Arabidopsis thaliana: one gene and its partner. The protein of the gene in region 1 interacts with the protein of each later gene in a pairwise test. Each region holds a gene or a part of one and is shown in the gene's direction. Other genes may lie near its edges.

Region 1 (4,477 bases):
AACTCTCATAAAACTAATATACAGATTATATCATGCGCTTGGCTTTGATTCTAGTTTGTTAAGGTGAAAATTTCTCAAGTATAAGAAATTCATATCGATCATGATAGATTCCATCTTTTCAAAATGCTTTCTTTATCTAAAAAATCATTCACTCTAACACATAAAGGCCAAACACTTACAGACCTATGTTGTAGGATATGGGGTCAACTGACACCAGTTAAAATTCATATTTAATTATATGAACAATAATTTGTAGTTCATTTTTGTTAGAGCAATTAAGTTTGAACCCATTATTCAATTGTCAACACCAATAATGTTTGAGTGTTGTGGATTTTTCTCTAACTTGTTTGAACACTTCTTATTGTTATTGGGCCACAGCTCAATCTATTAACATATAGAAACTGTCCTTTTTATAATAACTAAGGGCTTGATTGGTTCTCCCTCTGCCACCCGCAAACGCAGCGTTTGCGGGTGGTAGCGGTTGTTAGCGATTGGCACCAATCATAAAAACCGCTAGATACCGCTTTGGACCGCTCGAAATCGTCAGATCTCAAAAGCTCCTTCCCGCAAGCGTTTGCGGTTGCGGGCGGTAGCGGTTAAGTTACAACAAAAATTTATTTTTTATAATTAATTAAAATAATTATATCTTCCACCCAAACCCTATATATCTTATTCTTGTTAGAAAACCCTAATCAATATATTGTAACTCTATTCTCTCAATTATGGCATCCACCCAAACGGATGAAAATTAAAATCAAAATCAAGAATCAAACGTAAGTATGATCTATCCGTTCATCCATTCACGACCAGTTTGGAAAAAAATTTAGTTGGAGATGTGTTAAAAATCGTTTGGATATCTTGAAGAAACTTTATTATATAGAGGCAATCCGGAAAACCCGCGAGTTCAACGTTATTTACAGTTTATCACACTATTTGATGCAATTTTTGGTAATGTACCAAATGCATAAAGTATTAAACTTTTTCTTACAAAATTTATTTATTTTTGAATTTAATGTTTTATTTATGGTTTTAATTATTAATTATGTTTAATTTTTCTAATATTATGAATTTATCATAATAATATATTGTATTTTTTCTTTCTTTTAATAGTAATATATTATATTTATTTTGGTTTATTTTTGTTTAATTACTATCACACCCGCTGGTTTACCAGTCATAAAACTCCCGCAAACGCACCCATTATCAAACGTTCAACCAGTCGTTCAAAACGCTTGATAACGCTTGAAACCGCAACTGCCCGTTTTCGCAAACTCCCGCAACCGCAACTGCACCCGCTGCGTTTAAACCAGTCAGGCCCTAAAACCCTACTTTATACTTTTTTTTTTGTCATCAAAAATCCTACTTTATACGTAAAATAAATCTTTAGATTATAAATAGTTAGTGTGGAAAATATATTTTGATATATTTGTTTTTAATATGTGTTAATGGCAACAAATTAACTAAAATTCTTGGGTGTCCAAGAAGGCTCCTTGCATGAGTTGCATACTAGCATTGATAAGATATGACATCAATGCTTTGATGATGATGATTTATTGGATAAGACCATCAGAGATTGTTTTGAGGGTTTGGGTCGTCTTCATGTGCCAATATGACTTTTTTTTTTAAATGTGATTCCTCATATTGATTCTTGAACCGTGTATATAAAAAAGTGTATATGATTCATTTTACAGGATGAATTTTCGGATCAAGAGCAGTGGATATATGATGATGAGGATTAAACTAACTTGACAAATGCGTGGAGAGGTGATTATTAGAAGTTTCGGATCAAGAGCAGTGGATAATTTTCATTTGAGAAGGAGATTTTAATTCATCCTATTTTCTGGAAACAAAAATATTAAGTAAATAAATAAATATCATAATCATCTTTTTAAATAATAAAGTCCTCCAAATTTTGTTAATTACTAGAATTGTTTCTCCATAGGGTTAGGGTTACGTTTCTCCGATTTTATTCCTTGAGACTGAATACTATACGATTGCGAATTGATCAGTGTTGTCTATCGATTCATTTTTCTTCAGAATTGGATTATCATGAAACGCTCGATCAGCCCCGACCCTTTTTCCTCAACGAAGTCGCCGAAACTCGTTCACCACTCACCGGATGATGGAGGAGCAGAGGGCAATCCTTATCGTCTTCCTTTTACCTTAAGCGATGAAAACCTCTCATGCCTTCCTATCTCCCAGGCGAGGGAGCCTCCTCCTATCTTTAACTTGGATCCCAATTCTGTCAAAGGTACGTTGGGATGTTTTTTTTTTTGTGTTCTCGTTGATTGATCTTCTAAATCTCATGTTTTGATATCATCCAAATTAGATACACAAGACAGAAACAAACTATACTTAGCAAAAGCTTGGGACTTGCTAAAGCCAGCGATCAAAATCATCTTAGATGATGATGAATACAAAAAGCCTGGCGACGTTCTCTGTTTCACTACGATTTTTAGAGCTGTTAAGCGTGCTTGCTTAGGCGATCCTCGACAATCAGAACTGGTTTTCAATCTTGTCAAGCATGAGTGTGAGCCTCACATTGCTGAGCTTATACAGTCTTTAGAAAAGAATTGCAGTGGCAGTGATGATCCCTCTGTGTTCTTGCCACACGTGTACAATCGCTGGCTAGACTTTAAAAGGAAGATGAGTCTTGTGTCTGACGTAGCCATGTATCAGACTCTTAATGGCTTGACATTGTGGGACGTGGGCCAGAAGCTTTTCCATAAACAACTCTCCATGGCCCCTCAACTTCAAGATCAAGTTATTACCGGCATATTAAGACTCATCACTGATGAAAGGTTAGTATGTAAGTAAGAGGAGTCTCATCTTTCTTTAACCGTTCCAGTCTCGATCTACTCACTCTTTCCCTTGCATTTTGTGTTAATGTTTGTCTACCAGATTAGGCAAGGCTGCGAACAACACGAGTGATCTCCTAAAGAATCTTATGGACATGTTCCGCATGCAGTGGCAGTGTACATATGTGTATAAGGACCCTTTTCTTGATTCCACTTCTAAGTTTTACGCCGAGGAAGCAGAGCAAGTCCTGCAGCGATCCGACATTTCCCACTACTTGAAATATGTCGAGGTACATACATCTCAAGACCTCAACTTAGCGTTATCATTTTGTTTTTTTAGCCTTTCCTTCCTAAACCCTGAAAATGAAAGCTATTCTTCCCTGTGATTGTTTGTTGCAGAGGACTTTCCTTGCGGAAGAGGAAAAATGCGATAAGCATTATTTCTTCTTTTCATCTTCCCGGTCTCGACTAATGAAAGTCTTAAAGAGTCAGCTCCTGGAGGCGCACTCTTCTTTTCTTGAAGAGGGTTTTATGCTATTAATGGATGAGAGTCTCATCGATGACCTTAGAAGAATGTATCGTTTGTTCTCTATGGTAGATTCGGAGGATTATATAGACCGCATTCTGAGAGCCTACATTTTGGCAAAAGGAGAGGGAGCTAGGCAAGAAGGCTCCTTGCAGGAGTTGCATACTAGCATCGATAAGATATGGCATCAATGCTTTGGTCAGGACGATTTGTTGGATAAGACCATCAGAGACTGTTTTGAGGGTTTTGGTCTTCATGTGCCGGTATGACTTTTTGTTTATTTGATCTCCCCTTATTGATTCTTGAACTGTGTATATAAAAAAAGTATATGTGATTCTTTTTACAGGGTGAATTTTCGGATCAACTGCAGTGGATAGATGATGATGATGATGAGGATTAAACTAAATAGAAGTTGTAATTGTTAGTCTGGTCGTGTGTTGCGTTTCTGTATTGATCTCTTGTAAGACTTTTCAACTAGCATACTAAAGAATATAAGTAATATATTATCAATTAGCTTTTGACCAGTTGGGAAATGGAGTTTCGTTACCATATCAGAAATTGGATAATACTCAACTGAATAGTGAATTGAAAGCTTATACATAAACTTTTGTTAATAGTTTGGGAAGTATATTGCTGGCACTGTAACCAAAGTGGGACGTTTTCACTCATACTTAAGCGATGGGATGTTATGCGTAGCTACATAATGGTATTGAGGAGAATTAGCGTTAATTGCTTTTGCATTGGTTAATTGCTTTTGTTATGTGTTGCTCAGATTTTGGATTGTTTTGGATTACTCTGTTTGTTGATTTTAAGTTGAGATCGAAAAAATATAAAATAATAACTTTTATGCGAATAATTGTTAAATTCTGTAATTAGCTCAAACAAATATACATTTCAACAACCAAAGATTTTTTTTTTTTAAATCCTAAATTAGCTGAAAATAATAACTAACTTAATCAACTCAAGATAATCTACATGTTAAATGCGGCTATATTTTAATTTTTTTAATCTAACTAACTAAATGCAATCTAATTTTGTGGTTGTTAACATAAATAAACTCATTATTCAAATAAAATTAATTTTTTAAAATAATACTATATTTTGTTTTTATATCTTAAAAAAATTATCCATATTTGAGTATTATATAAAAAGG
Region 2 (5,773 bases), on another chromosome or scaffold:
TTATTTTTAATAATTGAAAATATATTTTGTAGATTCAAACAATTTAGGATATAGTTGAATGAAGTTGACAAGTTGATGCATGCAAAGAAGTAAGAAGAATGACATTCTTGTATGCGAAAATGATTATTTTCAATTAGTGACTGATATCTTTTGCAAGTCTAAAATAAATATAATATATTTTATTAACAATTCGTGAAAAGTCTTTTTATTTGATGGCAAAATACTACATGGTTGTTCTTTTTTTTTGTTGCAACCATGTAATGATTAATGGTGATATTGTTGGTTGGTTGGTAGTCGAATGTTATATGGTTATTATTTTTTTGGTTGCAACCATGTAGTGATTGATAGTGATACTGTTGGTTTGCTACATGGTTACTCCTTCTTTGGTTCCAACCATGTAGTGGTGGTTGATGGTGATATTGTTTGTTGGTAGTCGAATGCTACATGGTTGCTCCCTCTTTGGTTGCAACCATGTAGTGGTTGATGGTGATATTGTTCAGTCGATCATAAAATATATGATGCATGAAGAATATAAATTATTGAATTGTTTTTCCTTGCTAAAAAGTTAATAAAAAACAATTTATCCTAAATACTCTTATTTTTTTGTAATTATGTTGTTAAAGGGTCTAAATTTTTATATATCCTTTTATCTTATATAAATATATATATATATATATATATATATATTATTTTATTGTTTATATATATGTAAGTAAATGATTGTGTATAAACAAAATTAATACTGAAAAAGACTAATTTTTAAAATTTGTACCAAAATTCCAGTTCTATTGAGCCGGTTTTGGGTGTATATATAATAATATATTATAATATATAATAATATATTATAATATATCGTGTATTAAAATTTAAAGGTTTATTACGAAATTTTAGACTTAAGATTGAATTCTATCATCTAGATTATTAAAGTTAAATAACTTATTATGATCTATTATTTTTATCATTGTAGACACTCTTTTAAGTGGTAAAGTTTAGGTCTAAAATCTATACATGTTATATAACAAAATAAAGAAAACACCAAAATTATTAGGGTTAACGAAAATAATATGTGACGTTACAGAAAAGAAACTTGCGCATTTTTAAAAAAAAAAAGTTGTACAAGGCGAGAAGCCTTAAAAAGCGGCACAGAGACTTCTGTAGATTTTTTCTCACGTGCACTTGCCATGTGTTGAATATTCGACAAATTTTATGGGCTTTACTCTAAGCCCAACTTTTCCTCTTTAGGCCTTTCTGCGCTGTTGCGTCAAAAAGACAAAAACTTAATAGATTTAAGAAAATCAAAATGATTCATTTTAGTTTCGGTATTTATCCTTTTGCATGTCATTGATCAATACGTTTTGAATCATATTTATAAAGATTGAAAACTATAGTATATGAAATCTTTATTAAAGCCAAACCAAAAGCCCCACTTATTTTACGTATTTGTCTCTGTCGAAACGCAGATTTTATCAGACAAGTGGCACCAAACTAACTAAAGAATCAATATTGTATTAGGCAAAAGAAGAAAAAGATAACAAAATTAATCATTTTCTTAGAGTTGGGTAGGTCACTAGAGGCCCAATTATTACTCACTAAGCTAAGGAGGAGTACTTAAGTTAAAAGATGCCACTGCATAGCACTGAGACCCTCCAAATAAAGCGAATAAAAATTAATAAATTGATTAAAAGTATTAATCTTCCACTCTTGTCCCACAAAATGCGACCTAATTTCTTGGAAAAGTTTATTCAATTTCTGAATAACAAATAATTCACAGTTATTCAAATATTTATACAAATAAATTATCAGCTATATTTAAAATCGTTACTAAAAAATATATTTAACCAATCGGTAGTAATCTCGTGGTACAAATATCAATTATCCATTTTCAGATCAAATCATTACTATAACTATTTTAATTTAAAAACTATATATATATATATATATTATATATCAACTTTTTATAATGTGAATCATAAGTCGACTATTAAGTTTTGATATATGATATTGTATGTTTTTTTCTAACAAAATCATAAACAAATCACATCTTATATATATGAGATTCAGATTCTCTATGTTAAAAAATAAAAATTACCGGAATATTCCCCTCAAGCATCTGACGTGTCGGCCGACGATGAAGAATCCAGGTCATCAAAAGGTGTAGTTTAGAAACAGAGGCGCACGATAAGGTCAACTTTTGGAATAGAGGAAAAGACTCAACCTTTTTTATCATCTCTCTCGATTTGTTTTTCTCCCGGTGGTGATGCTTTTGTCGTTTCATCGTTCGTTTACTTCAACTTGCTTATTATTCTACGCTCATGGACTAATCAAAGCCATGAGGAAAAAAAAAAAAGCAACAACACAAAATATATGTATAAAAAAATAAATATCTCTGCTTTTTTTTTTCAATGATGGGTACGCTTCACCTCTAAGTTTTGACCAAAGTTTTTCTTCATTTCTCTCTTCTCTCTTGTGGTCACCGTTTGATCGGAATATTCCTTTTAGAATGCCAAGATTCATTCTTCATCTCTCGAGCTCCTCATGAATTTCTTCTCTGCTTATCAATGGAGGTTGGTTTTTGTTTCTCATGTTATCTTTTCTTGCTTTGTGAAGTCCTTAAATTTTCCAATTTTGGTTTTTAGTTGTTGCAACTTTCTAGTTTCATGGGTATTACTCTATTTGGCTATGTTTCTTCAAAAGGCTCTGTTTTGGAGAGCTGGGTTTTCTAAAGTTTCAACCTTTATTGCTAAAACTGAAACTATAACTACTTGTTTATTGTGTGTGTTAGTAAGCAATGCAATTTTAGAGATATGGACTGGATCTATATATCTATTGAAAGCTGAGCTAGAGAATCTGTTTCTTGAATTCAATAAGCTTGAGTCTGTAAATTGTTGATTTACAGATGATGAGCTCTTCTTCTTCTACTACTCAAGTTGTATCATTCAGAGACATGGGGATGTATGAACCATTTCAACAGTTATCTGGTTGGGAGAGTCCTTTCAAATCAGATATCAACAATATTACTAGTAATCAGAATAACAATCAGAGTTCTTCAACAACACTTGAGGTTGATGCTAGACCAGAAGCAGATGATAACAATAGAGTGAGTTATTGTTTATTCCTGGATCATGCTTTAGAATGATTTATAAGTGTTGTTTGTTTGGTGATTGATGGTTAATTATGTTGCAGGTGAATTATACTTCTGTGTATAATAACTCTCTTGAAGCAGAACCGTCGAGTAATAATGATCAGGACGAAGACCGGATCAATGATAAGGTAAGGCTTTAGCATTTTAAGGCTACTTATACCTTTTGCTTCGAAGACTTCATAAACTCCTCCTTCTCCATTTTAATCTTTAGAGGAAGAGACACGGCGTGATGACATGAATTGTTGTTCCTTCTCTATGAACAGATGAAACGGCGTTTGGCTCAGAACCGAGAAGCTGCTCGCAAAAGTCGTTTGAGAAAGAAGGTAACCTTGGTGGGATTTTTTCTTGTGTTAATGATAAAAAGGAAAGCTTATGCAAAGTTGTGTCTGTGCTTGTAGGCCCATGTTCAACAGTTAGAAGAAAGCCGGTTGAAGTTGTCACAGCTCGAGCAGGAACTTGTAAGAGCTAGGCAGCAGGTTAGCTCAAGCTTGTTTATTTGTTGTGTGTTCATCAAACTTTATCTGATTCATTCTGACTCAGTGATTCTTCTGGTTTGTATTAGGGATTATGCGTACGCAATTCTTCAGATACTAGTTATCTAGGACCAGCTGGGAATATGAACTCAGGTTGGTGTTTATATCACTAAATAAGCATATGTTAGCATTGCTTTATCTCTTAATCCTCAGTAGATAAAGAAGTAATTTTCCCAATAATAACCATTTTCAGGTATTGCTGCATTTGAGATGGAATACACACACTGGCTAGAAGAGCAAAACAGGAGAGTTAGTGAGATTCGAACAGCGCTCCAAGCTCATATAGGTGACATTGAGCTCAAAATGTTGGTAGATAGTTGCTTGAACCACTACGCAAATCTCTTCCGCATGAAAGCTGATGCTGCAAAGGCTGATGTGTTCTTCTTGATGTCGGGAATGTGGCGAACTTCAACTGAACGCTTCTTCCAATGGATTGGAGGTTTCCGCCCATCCGAGCTTTTAAATGTAAACTTCTTTTTTACTTTTACACGTTTCTCTTTCTACTCTTGAGAAAAAATGCTCAACCTTTTTTGTTGTCTAGGTTGTGATGCCATACGTTGAGCCCTTAACCGATCAGCAACTGTTGGAGGTGCGTAACCTGCAACAGTCGTCTCAGCAAGCAGAGGAGGCTCTCTCTCAAGGCTTAGATAAACTTCAGCAGGGTTTGGTCGAAAGCATAGCAATTCAGATAAAAGTTGTTGAGTCTGTGAATCACGGGGCTCCAATGGCTTCAGCCATGGAGAATCTTCAAGCATTGGAGAGTTTTGTGAACCAGGTAACGCTAAGTGTATTTGCTTTGTGCTTTTGCAGTCTCCATGAATCCAAAGTTTATTTTCATTTTTGATTAGAAACTTTGTGAGCATGGATTTCACAAACAAAATCTCTGACAATATTGGAACAGGCGGATCATCTGAGACAACAGACCCTGCAGCAAATGAGTAAGATATTGACGACAAGACAGGCTGCTCGAGGGTTGCTCGCTCTAGGAGAATACTTCCACAGGCTGCGTGCTCTTAGTTCTCTCTGGGCAGCTCGTCCACGAGAACACACTTGACAAGTTAGGAGGCAAACAAAACAAAGAGAAAGAAGCACAAGGCAGATGATGTTAGCTATAGGGACTTGCTTTATCTCTCAGAAAGTGTTGGCTGATATTTTCTCCATTAGAGAGCATCATCTTCCTCATTGATGATTTTGTTTACTTGAAAGGAATAAGAGATGTGTAAATTTGGGTGGAAAACATGTAATGTCTTTGATGCATTAGGCTCTTTATTTGTAAAATATATAGGGTTTGTTGTCACTCATCTCCTCGTATATGAAAATTTGAGCCCACAATCAAATTTTTTGTCTATATTGTTATTCCAACAGTTCTTAGCTTATATTTGTTGTTGGTATAAATTGGTCAATAGACAAACAATAAATTCAAATAGATTCATAGAGAGTTTGATCATTCCCTTCATTCAAATTGTGCCTAAAATGAATATCCTACGGGTCTCAGCCAAAAAAGCCCACACCGAGGAAAGATAAAGACAAGAGTTAAAGGTAACACATGTTTCTTCCCTTTTGTGATACAAATGGGGTAAAAAGGGTTAGTTCTCTTTCTTTCTTTATCTCTCCTGTAAAATTCAAATCTTCTTCACTAGCCATCCTGGAAAAAAGAAGTAAAAAGACATAAGAATAGACCAAGAAATCAACTTCCAAATGTGAAGAACACAAGACTCATATGGAAAAGGCAGCAGAGTACTTCATGTAAACAAGAAAGTATCCATGACCCGGTTTACTACTACTTCCTTGTTACAAAATACAAGCTAGGAGGATGAAATATTACAGTCTCGTGCTTCTTAAAGAGAAAGGATTATTTACCTCTGGCATGGAACTGCTTGGGCCACCAAGTGATAAGGCATTGTGGCTATTACTTGAGCCCATAGAGTGTCCATAGAAGTCGGTACTTCTGCAAGCAAGCATGATCAGTTGGTAAGTATGGTATAAATAGTTTGGGAAAAGAAATCACTAGTAACAGAATACCTAGCATCTGAATGTTCCATCTTTGAAGCTACATCAGAGGTCTCTCCTGCGTTGTTGCTCAAAGGGCTTGATCCAA

The links.
Region 2: the proteins of AT4G12100 (region 1) and TGA3 interact in binary tests that used the Arabidopsis thaliana proteins (3 or more experiments, as listed by UniProt).

The regions. Positions count from the first base shown.
Region 1 is NC_003075.7:7,245,700-7,250,176, reverse strand, and holds AT4G12100 (Cullin family protein), read left to right. Parts: upstream 1-2,049; coding exon 2,050-2,251; intron 2,252-2,329; coding exon 2,330-2,801; intron 2,802-2,901; coding exon 2,902-3,088; intron 3,089-3,197; coding exon 3,198-3,587; intron 3,588-3,670; coding exon 3,671-3,724; 3' UTR 3,725-3,839; downstream 3,840-4,477.
Region 2 is NC_003070.9:7,787,093-7,792,865, forward strand, and holds TGA3 (transcription factor TGA3), read left to right. Parts: upstream 1-2,040; 5' UTR 2,041-2,558; coding exon 2,559-2,564; intron 2,565-2,896; coding exon 2,897-3,097; intron 3,098-3,183; coding exon 3,184-3,270; intron 3,271-3,405; coding exon 3,406-3,465; intron 3,466-3,540; coding exon 3,541-3,618; intron 3,619-3,704; coding exon 3,705-3,768; intron 3,769-3,868; coding exon 3,869-4,140; intron 4,141-4,216; coding exon 4,217-4,450; intron 4,451-4,576; coding exon 4,577-4,729; 3' UTR 4,730-5,047; downstream 5,048-5,773. Other genes in the region: AT1G22080 (Cysteine proteinases superfamily protein), read right to left, coding at 5,312-5,320, 5,536-5,623, 5,698-5,773.